Linked DNA regions of Schizosaccharomyces pombe. The protein of the gene in region 1 purifies or fractionates together with the protein of each later gene. This does not show direct contact. Each region holds a gene or a part of one and is shown on either strand. Other genes may lie near its edges. The genes, in order: cft1, pla1 and iss1.

Region 1 (3,756 bases):
TATCAGGGGAAACTAAAGAAGCTGTCTTAACATCCGAAAGTCTATTTTGTAAATCCGTTTTGATCAGCCTTTGGGATTTTAAATCCATTTTGTAAAGAGCGATTCCACCACCCAAAAAGACAACGATTATACAAGGATCACAAATGCTTGTTGAGACGACTATTTGTTTTTTGCTAAAATTAAAAAGTTGAGTAAGACGTAAATTTGAGTCGTATACACGCAGGCTAGTAGGACATATCTGAACCATACGCATACCGGAAAGCAAAGAGCCGACATTAAGTGTCTTCGAGTCCTTAGAAAAGTCAGAATGCTGTACCTCATCAAAGGTTTCACCTGCCAAAAATATAAACGACTCCTTCTCTTTAGAAAGTACAAGATAAGTTTCTAACTCGGGATTTGAGTATTGAGCTTGTATTCTGCTTTTCATATTTCGTAGCTTTCCTGAAATACTAACGGTCCATAGTGCTTCACAGCCGTCAAATTGAAATTCACCGGCTATTAATGGAAATATGTTTCGCCGAAAAACAACAAGACCGCCAGCACCGTCAGCTCCTGCTGTACCTACCAATTCCAGAGGTCCATGGTTGTCTTGAGGGAAATAGGAGTACGATCCTGCCTTTCCAACGGCAAAGTCAGTAATTGGACCAATATTTGTCAATACATCACATATTTCTAGACGTAGCGGGCCGTTTTCATAAGCAATCTTCCTTTTAGAACCCACGGATTCATCTGTTTCATAAATATCAAGCATATCATCCATTTCAGCATCGTTCGTTCCATAAAGAGTATCGTCTCCTTCATCCAATCTTACCTCCTCATTAGTAGTACGCCGAGACCAACGAAGCAAATAACTGTCAGTAGTCTGGCTACCTAAGAAAACAAGATTTTCGCCAGCAGGCACTGCACAAGTGATTCCTGATTTAAGAAAGTCATCATTAATTTCTAAATCCAAAGCTTGTAATGACAGTCCTTTGACTGATTTACCATCAAGTAAAAAATCTAGATAAAAAAATTGACCGGACGTGTGCACCAATACGACAAAGGGAGTTTCAGTCTTACTACTTGTTAAGGGAATGGCAATAGTCCCCTCTAGTTCCAGGTTAAAATCAGACTGGTCTTGAAGTGGGAAATCAGTACACTTTGAGTAGTAAGAATTTACGCCGATACCGACAGTCCGGCCAGCGGAATCAACATATATAAGCTCATTTCCACCCAACAATAAAGAACCTCCAAGAGGCGTAGGTATTGAAACCGATGCGTAGATATCGTAGGGAAGTGATTGAATGGTAGTAATAACGGCACTAGCGCGTTGCTCTAAGTCTAAAGTTACCAATGAAAAGAGAACGGTATCCTTTCTTAATGGTAAAGTAACGGTAGAAGTCTGTTCGGGACTATATAGAATGGCTAGTGTAGGCTCGCGATATCCGTATAGAAATTTAACGTCAAGAATTCGTGAAATACTAGCATCCAGTTGAGAAGAAGCTAAGACAAAGGAGGGTTTGTAGGCATAAGATGAAGAAATTTTAGAATTTTCTATAGCAGCCTCTTCCATATCCAAATCTTCGTTAGCTGGATATGGAATAATAGCCATCATATCAGTTAAAAATCGTAATAGGCAACAGTCGGAATCCGGATCCACCAAGAGCTGTGTAGGGGTATGAGAGGAGCATATATTTGAAGATTTGACATCTTCATAATAGTGAAGACTATTAGTTACGAAGCTCTGACTTTGCATATCCCATTCCAACGTAGATACTTTTGCATAGTCGGTAAGCATAATTAACAAATCACACCCATTACTTCCCTTTCCCTTCAAAGCCGATATTTCCGTTATAGTCCCGAAGACTTTAACTTGAGAAACGAGTCTAAGAACGTAGGTAGTTTGTTCATTGGTACGTATGAGATGCATATTTGTCTCCATGAACGCCTGACTTTCATCGATTATGCTGGTGGAGAATTCATTCTGCAAGGAATCATCTAATGGGAAACTGGATTCATCTTTTTGAATCTTTTCAATCTCAAAAAGGTGTAAAGAATTCACTTTACTTACCACTAGGTTATTAGATACAAGAGAAGTAAATTGGCCTTGGACAGCATTTTTTATAACTGTAGAGTCCACTAGGTCTTGAAATATGGTTGACATAAAGCAAATACCACATTAAATGTGCCTTTCAACTGGGACGTTGAGCTTCTGGAAAGGATGAGGTAGAGTAAGGAGTTGGACGCGTCCAAATACAGTGTACAAAATCTACAAGTAGGTTTTAAAAGCAATTCATTTTAAATAACTAGTAATTTACATAATAATAATACAATCCTTTTTACTTATGAAAAAGGAACCGCTTGACAAGGAAAGTCTGAAGCGTGTAATACCATAAGTCTTATTTGTTCAGGTTCGCGAACATAGGATCCGAGTGCCACAAGGACTTTCTTTTTATCCCTATTATTATTGTTCAGTAAGTAAAATAGCACATTACAATTACAGTAGTTGACATACTCTTTATGGCACCTTAGATACAAAAATTTTGATTGTCGATGCAAAAAATCAATAGGAATTGCAGACCCAAATATTCCAAATGACTGATTTAGAGCTAATGTGATGAGATGTCGTAAAGAAATATCGTCTATTTCATCTATAGGGGTAGTACCTCCAACCCTAAGTATGTCAGTGAAACAAATTATCCCAGACTTCCTTACACTTCAAGTATTATATATGACCATTCGCTTTTTAAACGTTGATGAAGTACCATGGCCTCTTTTTAACTCAAAAGGAAGGCAGATCGTGTCTGGTGAAAGTTGTATAGAGAAGTAAACTTCTGAGTAAGTACGATACCAACACGTTTAAGGATGCATTTGCTGCAGTTCCTGTGGAATCTACAAGCTCGTAATTATCATACTAAAATTATCGTACCATCACATAAACTGTTATGTGAAGGCTAATCTTCGAATAATTGAGGTACTGTTTAATTATGTTTCCTGTTTTCATGCCTGTAGAAAGCAAACAGCTGAACAAAATGAGGAAGCCTTCAATTCGAAGTGTAATATTAGAAAAATTTAATAACTTGAATTATTGCTATTTTTCATAATTTAATTTTGCTGGTTGATAAAATATATCCAGATACACAATTTACGAAATGCGGTCTTATAGCTAGCATGAGACAAAGACGGCAACTCGCGGAATTCTTCATATAAACTTTTCCGAGTCCGAGGTTCTAATAAATTCGTATGTTTGTATTAACTAAATTGAGACATAAACTATATTCCAGACTTGGTTAAAATCCCCTTATCTATTCATTTTGTCAAGATATCTATACCGATTGTAGCAAAATTTGATAAAAGCAATTTTCAAAATGTTTTACTGAGAATGCAATGAATCAGGGATTGTTCTTTCATAACTCCCCTCGTCTCGTGCACTTTAAAATTAACTGGTACTCCAGATTTTTATCAAGGCCTCCGCGCAAGAGAATATGTAAATGTTTCCCTTTACGAAACCAGCTTCTTTTTCCATTCCTGGTAAAGTTTTGTCATATATTCTAAAGCTTTCTCTTGCTCTGAAGGCAAAATTAATTCCACAGGAGTAGAGAGGACTCTTTCATGACCAAAACGAGTCACGGCTGCTCCCCACTTGATAGATTGATCTTCTTTGGTAGCATGTAAAGCAGTCCAAAGAAAAGCAAAAGCAGCAACGTATGGAGAAATTGTATGCCAAGGACTTCCAAGTAAGCGACAAATATAGAAACCGAGCTTTGCACACATAAC
Region 2 (3,756 bases), 180 kb from region 1:
CAACAAGTTGGGTAATACATTATTTGCACGAAGTTAACGTCCAATGATTGATTGGTCGAATGAGTAATAAATATAACAATTTATTAAAAGAAGTTGCAGCTAAATATGCTAGTATCATTCTAAATGATGCGAAAATTAAGTCTTTAACTTCAATAAATAGTGCCGAATATCTATATGATTCATTTGTTGAAATTAGTAAATTACCACTGGAAAAGAAGCTTCCGTTAAAATGGAAACTGATTACAGTAAAGGAAAATATTTGCACGAAGACAAATTTAACCACGGCAGCCTCTAATATGTTGAAGGGTAGACAATAAGAATATATTTCAGTTACTAATTGCGGTTTAACTAGACTACAATTCTCCGTTTGATGCGTCAATTGTCGAAAGCTTGAAGAAAGCCGGCGGTATTATTCTTGGTAAAACAAATATGGATGAGTTTGCAATGGGAGTCAAGAGCGAAAACAATCTTTTTGGTCGCACTGTTAATCCTGTTGTTAAGGATAGTAATTACGATGTTGGGGGCAGCTCGGGAGGAGCTGCTGCTGCAATCGCGGCGGATATATGTTATGCATCAGTTGGTTCAGACACAGGAGGATCAATCCGTCTACCTGCTGCTTACGTAGGTTGTGTAGGTTTTAAACCATCTTTCGGCAGGATTTCGAGATATGGAATGCTTGCCTTTGCCAATAGTTTTGACACAGTGGGTATCGCTGCAAATAATGTTAAGGGCGTTACCAAAGTATTTAATGTTTTAGACCATCCCGACATAAATGACTCAACCTGTTTAACTAAAGAAGCTCGTTATTTTGTTAAAGAGCAGCACAAAAAATTATCGCGGAAGCCAATTAAAATAGGAATTCCAATTGACTGGAATGTTTCTGAGACTCATCCAAACGTTTTAGATAAGTGGAATGAATTCATATCTCTTCTGAAATCAAATGGTTATCTTGTCCAAGAAATACAGCTTCCAATTTCATTATACGCTAACAGTGTATATTCCACAATGGCTTATGCAGAAGCGACTTCAAATTTGGCTAAATATAATACTATCGCATTTGGCAATTGTTTAGATGAAAAGTTCGAAGAGGAAATAATTTCATCTACTGCACGCTCTTTTTTTTTAGGAGACGAAGTGAAAAAGAGGCTACTGCTAGGCGCTTATTCACTAGCAAGAATGTATGATATAACTGATTTACTAAGTAGTTACTAATATTTACAAATAGGAATTCCTCTGATTTGTTTTCTAAGGCTCGATACGTTCGCCGAGCCATACAGCTGGAATTCAACAAAAACTTTTTTCTACCTTCCTTTTCTGTCGATGATCCCAGGGGTGACATCGATTTCATAGTTACCCCTTCTTTTTTTAATTCCAGTCAACCCATTGAAACCCCGTCCTCTTATAGTCATCTTTCAGATACTATGTTAGTTCCAGCGAATATGGCTGGAATACCATCCGTTAGCATACCTTTCGGTACTTTGAACAATGGGCTTCCAATGGGAATTCAAATTATGGCCCAATATCTTAATGACGAAGATTTGTTGTCTTTTGCAGGCCAGTTTGCATAGATTTCGGCTGCTTATCTAAACTCTCGAAACATGGCTATGATAATCTTTATGAGCATAATAATTCTTTACTGTTTGGAATCAATTTCATACATTGAAACTTGTTTGCAAAGAGTTTTGGAGAACTTGTCATCAATAATTCGACAGTTTCCCTACAACTGCGGTAAATCCAATAAATAGATGTGGATTCTGAATCATTTACACTTCTCAGCAACATAAATTATTTTTACATTTCAAGTCGCTAGTTTATTCAACCAAAAAAAATGCATATCTGAAGGATGGAATTTAACGGGTAAGCTTTTAAATACAAAACCAGGAGCAATCGGTTTGTCAGATAATGAACATAGTGCACTGTCAAGATATATATGATAAACAGCAACAATTGTATAATTTACCAGATAAATTAAATTTGATTTAATCGAAATAAATGTCTCAGTGCAACTGTAAATGAATTTTTTGACATTATAATAAGATAACGCACTTTGTGAAATTGCGTATTTATGCCTTAAATCCTAAACGAATGCTAACCAGATCTACACATTTAGCATTAGTACGCTTTAAACCAGTTGTTTTTAAAGGTTAGGATAATTTAAAACAGCTACCTTTCAAGACTCCAATTTTTGTTTTCAAAGCATGACTACCAAGCAATGGGGTATTACACCGCCAATTAGTACTGCACCTGCTACTGAACAGGAAAATGCTTTGAATACGGCTTTAATTAATGAGTTGAAGAACCAAAACTTGTTTGAATCTCCTGCCGAATCTGAAAAAAGAGTAAAGGTTCTTGATGAGTTGCAACAAATAACGACAGAATTTGTAAAGAAAGTATCACTTGCCAAACATATGAACGAAAAGATGGCTAATGAGGCAGGGGGGAAAATTTTTACGTACGGAAGTTATAGACTGGGCGTTTATGGACCTGGATCAGACATAGATACCCTAGTCGTTGTACCCAAGCATGTTTCTCGCGACAATTTCTTTCAGGACTTGGAACCTATGCTTCGAGAAAGAGAAGAGGTAACTGACCTTGCTGCTGTACCTGACGCCTATGTTCCTATTATTAAGTTTAAATTTTTGGGAATAAGTATAGATTTAATTTTTGCTCGTCTTTCAGTTCCGCGTGTTCCCCGCGACCTCGAATTGTCTGATAATAACTTATTAAAGGGTGTTGAAGAAAGATGTGTGCTAAGTTTGAATGGTACACGTGTTACGGATCAGATTCTGCAGCTTGTCCCTAATCGTGCTGTTTTTAAGCATGCTTTAAGAGCCATAAAGTTTTGGGCTCAACGTCGTGCAATATACGCTAATGTCGTAGGATTTCCTGGAGGAGTCGCCTGGGCCATGATGGTAGCTCGAATTTGCCAACTATATCCGAATGCAGTATCTTCTGTGATTGTTGCTAAATTTTTTCGTATTCTTCATCAATGGAATTGGCCTCAACCAATATTGTTAAAGCCCATTGAAGATGGCCCCTTACAAGTACGTATCTGGAATCCAAAACTTTATCCATCCGACAAAGCTCACCGTATGCCAATTATAACCCCGGCTTATCCATCAATGTGTGCAACTCATAACATTACTTTATCCACCCAAACAATTATCCTTCGCGAAATGGTTCGGGCTGGAGAAATTGCTGACCAAATAATGGTCAAGGCTCTTCCCTGGTCAGCTTTGTTTCAAAAACACGACTTTTTTCATCGTTATAAGCATTATCTTACGATCACAGCAGCTGCTAAGACAGCTGAAGCTCAATTGAAGTGGGCAGGTTTGGTTGAATCTAAGCTTCGTCATTTGGTTACTAGACTGGAGCTTGTTGATGCTATTGCTTTGGCACATCCTTTCAATAAAGGATTTGATAAAGTGTATAATTGCTCCAGTGAAGAAGAAGCTCAACAAGTAGCTAGCGGCGTTACTCTTGAAGTCGCATATGAATCTACGGATCATGAAAAATTAGCCAACGATACAGTTAATGAAGAGAAAGCCGACAATACTGAGAGTAAAGCTGATGGTTCTGAAAATGGTGAAAAACAAATTTTTCCTGTTTACACTACAACATGTTATATAGGGCTTGAACTTGAAAAGAAGAAAGGCAAGATACTACATTTTGAAATTAATTATGCTAACTTTATTAGGTCATCCAATTAAAAGACTTGATATTTCTTGGCCTACCCAAGAATTTTACGAGTTGTGC
Region 3 (3,756 bases), on another chromosome or scaffold:
TACTTTACGTGAGAATGAAATATAGACTTTACACATCGCCACATGATGGCATCGATAGAGCTGCTAGTTTCAATTACTTTCAATTAACGAGTGAAAAGCGGATGTACCGCATCATCTGTTGAGCGAAATAGTCTACGTAAAATCAAATGGGCTAATTTGTCGCTGAATTAACCCAAAAGCAAAAATACGATTGCAATTCTCATTACGAAATGCTGAATGGGATGGAAAATAAATTGATGTCACAATTTCCGAGGACTCTTACAAATATTATATATAGAGCACGGGGTACATCACTATCGATTCGAATTTTCAAGAAGTAATATTTCGCACCGTAGTACTTTTTGTAAGCCGTTTTATTAAATCAGAAAGAACTCCAATTTTATTTATAAACAATGCCTGATCCTAATCGTGTTCTCGCTGGCAAGAAAGCCACCCTACACAATCCCAATGTATCACAACAAGCCAAAGAAAGAGCCGAAGACTATATAGAAAGTCATTCTTCCGGCCAAGAGACTGGTGATTATTCCGCTCAAGCTGGAGGCCGTGATCTTGATTATGAGGATCTCGGTGATTATGATGAGGATGCAGACTTTGACAACGAGGAGGGTCTAAATGTGTTGGGAGATGAGTCGGGTTTTGTTGATGATCCTATGAAAACAGGTGATTTGGTCGAAGAAGATCAACTTGAGGGCAAGAACATTGAAAATGTCCGAGGAGGTTATAAAGCTACTATGCATAATCCTAATGTATCCAAGCAAGCCAAAACCCGCGCCCAAAGAGCCCTTGAAGAAATTGATGATGAAACCCAAGCTTAATTGCTGCCCAGTTGATTACCCGTCATTGCTTTGATGTGTCTGAAGTATCTTCAGTTTTGATTTTATGTTGTTAATACAGAATTCCATAGTAATGATGAGTATACATGTTTATGATCTTATGAATATTATTTCATTCACCAGCTTTTAACTTTTGAAACCGTTGTCCTTGTAGAAGTAGTCGACACCCCATAGCATACAATTAAAACGATTCTCCTAAGATTTGCATACACAAACGTTATTGTATTTATCTTAATATCTGTTGCGTCGATATCGGCCGCCAGAACCTCTAGAGGAGTAGTTGGAGTATCTGTCCGGAGATGGTTTTCGCCTTGATGAGGAAGGATAGTTGCTACTGTGAGGATGGTTACTAGGAGGTCTTGAGGCATTATAGTTCGTAGAGGCTCCATTCCCATAACTCGATGTAGGATTATGAGTAGGTTGTGCATGCGTCATACCAGCACTCGATGTAATATTAGGGGAATTCGCTGGACTTTCACTTTCACGTCTAGAAGATGAAGGATTGTTATTTACATACGCATTAGGTGTAGCTGCACCTGAATGAACACCACCACCAGATGTATGTGTAGTATTATAGTTTGAAGATGCATGGACTGGAAAATTGCGCGAGTACCCCATATCCTCTTGTGGGCCTCCAATAGGCGGAGGAATAGGCATAAATGGAGGAAATCCAGAAGCCATCATAGCTTGAAACTCGGCAGGTGATGGTACGTTGCCAGAAGGTAAAGGACCCGGGATCTGAGCAAGACTTGCCATAAATTTTTGGGGGCTAAAGTCGTCACGCAAAGTCGTTTGTTTGGCACAGTAAGCAGCCCATGTAAATTCATCAAATCCATAGTTAAAATAATCTGAGATATCTGCACCAGGCTTGCGCCATGGTTTATCATCAAAAGACTCCAAATCAATCTCAAAAATGTTTTTACCATCAATTGTAGGAACAGCGTCAATGTCAACTTTAGGTGCAGTTTCTGCTGTCGATAAATCTTGGGGTTCTGTAGTTTTTACTTCGACAGCAGTTTTCTCTACTTGAGGTTTAGCAGAAGGTCGGGTTGAACCTAATGTTGCAATCGATCCACTAACATTATTAGTATAATCTGAAATCAATTATTTTGGTTTACATACCCTAATGGTTCTGCTCTTTCACCTGGCTTTGTTTCAATGATAAATTCAATATCCTACAAAATTAGCAGTTAGCAGTATCATTTTAATTGAAATCTTACTGAATCATCGCTTTCTTCACTTGCTTGCTCTGGTGACTTGGCATTTGACACTGTAACTCCATCATTCCGTTCCTCTATGGTTTCTCCATATAAATATTCATCCTCATCAACATCCATGTGCTGATCAGCATTTGACATAGTAAAAACCCACTTCTAAAATGTATATGGGGCAAGTCCATTCATTGACTGAGTCTCGCACCTGAAATTATGGATTCCTTCTTCTTTACCACTTAGGGCCATTAGTCCACTAAACATTGTACCGAGTTGTACGGTATATACTAGTGGACTTCATAGCGTACTTCATTTACCTGGGTAAAAATATTTTGCGCTAAAACGGGTTGAAACAGACCAACACTCGTGAAAGCCAACTTAGTGAGCCACATTGTAGTTAACACTAACAATTGAATTTGCTCTGCGAACACAGCAGTATTTGACTATACGATACCCTGAAAGCTAGTTCAATTTGAAACTTTAGATAACTAATCTTTTCCATCTTTGCTTAATTATAATATTAATCATTGATTGTGATTCTACAATTACCCTTTTTAGAAAAGATAACCTGAGTGGTTTTTCATGATAATCTTTGCATGGTATTTACACTAGGGACATTCGTGTATTAATACTTTAAGCAATGTTCGGGTTAAATAAAACACCCTCATTTGGGTCCACAGGAACCCAAAACCAAAGTATGTTTCTTTAGGTGAACAAGTCTTCAAGTTTACTTTTCGAATTTTGTGCTTATTCATATATTAACCTTTTCAGATACTGGTACTTCTGCAGGCACAGGACTTTTTTCTTCTAATACTTTTGGTAACAATACGCAGGCCAATACGCCCGCTTCGACTGGGTTTGGAGGCGTAACAGGAGGAGCTTTTGGTCAAACAAAACCTCAAACTGGTGGAAGCTTGTTTGGAAATAAGCCAAACGCTACATCTACTACCCCCGGCCTAAATTTGTTTGGACAAAACCCTCAAGCGGCACCTGGTGGCAGCCTGTTTGGAGCTTCCACTACTAAACCTCAAGCACCTGGTGGTTTGTTCAATCAGAATCAAACACAAGCACAACCTGCTCAAGCAGCCCCTACTGGAGGATTATTTGGATTATCTGGTCAAAATCAAACACAATCGCAAACACAGCCTGCTCAAGCAAATACTTCTCTTTTCGGACAGTCTAACATCGGAACTACAGGAGGTCTATTTGATCAAAACCGCCCTAATACTTCGACTTTTGGTCAATTTTCTACACAACCAGCTTCCGCTGGCCTTTTTGGTCAATCCACACAACCGTCTGGTTCAACTGGTTTTGGTTTAAGCAATAATACTCAAACTACTCCATTCTTTTCTGCAGCTCAGCAGCAACCGTCAACAACGTAAGTTAATTATTAAATTTTTTTTTCATTAACAAAAAAACAGGCAACTCCCTTCTAATCCAGCTATTAATGCAACGACGAGATACTCGAGCTTAAACGCTAATACTCAAAAATTTTTAGATGACTTAGAGTATGTGTTACCTTATGTACAAAATTTGTTCTAATCATGTCCGTAGCAAAGAAATTTTTAGCCAAATCCAACTTGCAGAGGAACTACAAACTAAGTTGGGGACTGTTTCCGAATTGGTTGAATCCGTCCCTAATGATGTCGCTGAAGTACAGAGAGTGAGTTATTTCCTTCTATTATCTCCAAGTTTTATTTGTTTCTAACTAA

The links.
Region 2: the proteins of cft1 (region 1) and pla1 purify together in Schizosaccharomyces pombe (affinity purification with mass spectrometry, with the first as the bait; one study listed by BioGRID). This does not show direct contact.
Region 3: the proteins of cft1 (region 1) and iss1 purify together in Schizosaccharomyces pombe (affinity purification with mass spectrometry, with the first as the bait; one study listed by BioGRID). This does not show direct contact.

What each region holds. Positions count from the first base shown.
Region 1 is NC_003423.3:1,111,726-1,115,481, reverse strand, and holds the start of cft1 (mRNA processing protein Cft1), read right to left. Parts: upstream 2,213-3,756; 5' UTR 2,144-2,212; coding exon 1-2,143. Other genes in the region: RNase P and RNase MRP subunit Pop8, read right to left, coding at 2,323-2,437, 2,495-2,653, 2,695-2,747; erg27 (3-keto sterol reductase), read right to left, coding at 3,481-3,756. UniProt on the Schizosaccharomyces pombe protein: RNA-binding component of the cleavage and polyadenylation factor (CPF) complex, which plays a key role in polyadenylation-dependent pre-mRNA 3'-end formation and cooperates with cleavage factors including the CFIA complex and NAB4/CFIB.
Region 2 is NC_003423.3:926,791-930,546, forward strand, and holds the start of pla1 (mRNA cleavage and polyadenylation specificity factor poly(A) polymerase Pla1), read left to right. Parts: upstream 1-2,094; 5' UTR 2,095-2,198; coding exon 2,199-3,654; intron 3,655-3,697; coding exon 3,698-3,756. Other genes in the region: gta1 (glutamyl-tRNA amidotransferase alpha subunit), read left to right, coding at 60-306, 353-1,178, 1,226-1,568. UniProt on the Schizosaccharomyces pombe protein: Polymerase that creates the 3'-poly(A) tail of mRNA's. May acquire specificity through interaction with a cleavage and polyadenylation factor (CF I).
Region 3 is NC_003424.3:752,139-755,894, reverse strand, and holds iss1 (fip1-like pre-mRNA polyadenylation factor), read right to left. Parts: upstream 2,225-3,756; 5' UTR 2,192-2,224; coding exon 2,054-2,191; exon of another isoform or gene 2,009-2,053; coding exon 1,956-2,008; exon of another isoform or gene 1,909-1,955; coding exon 1,065-1,908; 3' UTR 816-1,064; coding exon of another isoform or gene 393-815; 3' UTR 219-392; downstream 1-218. Other genes in the region: protein cum1, read left to right, coding at 393-815; nucleoporin Nup45, read left to right, coding at 2,685-2,739, 2,816-3,422, 3,466-3,552, 3,599-3,707.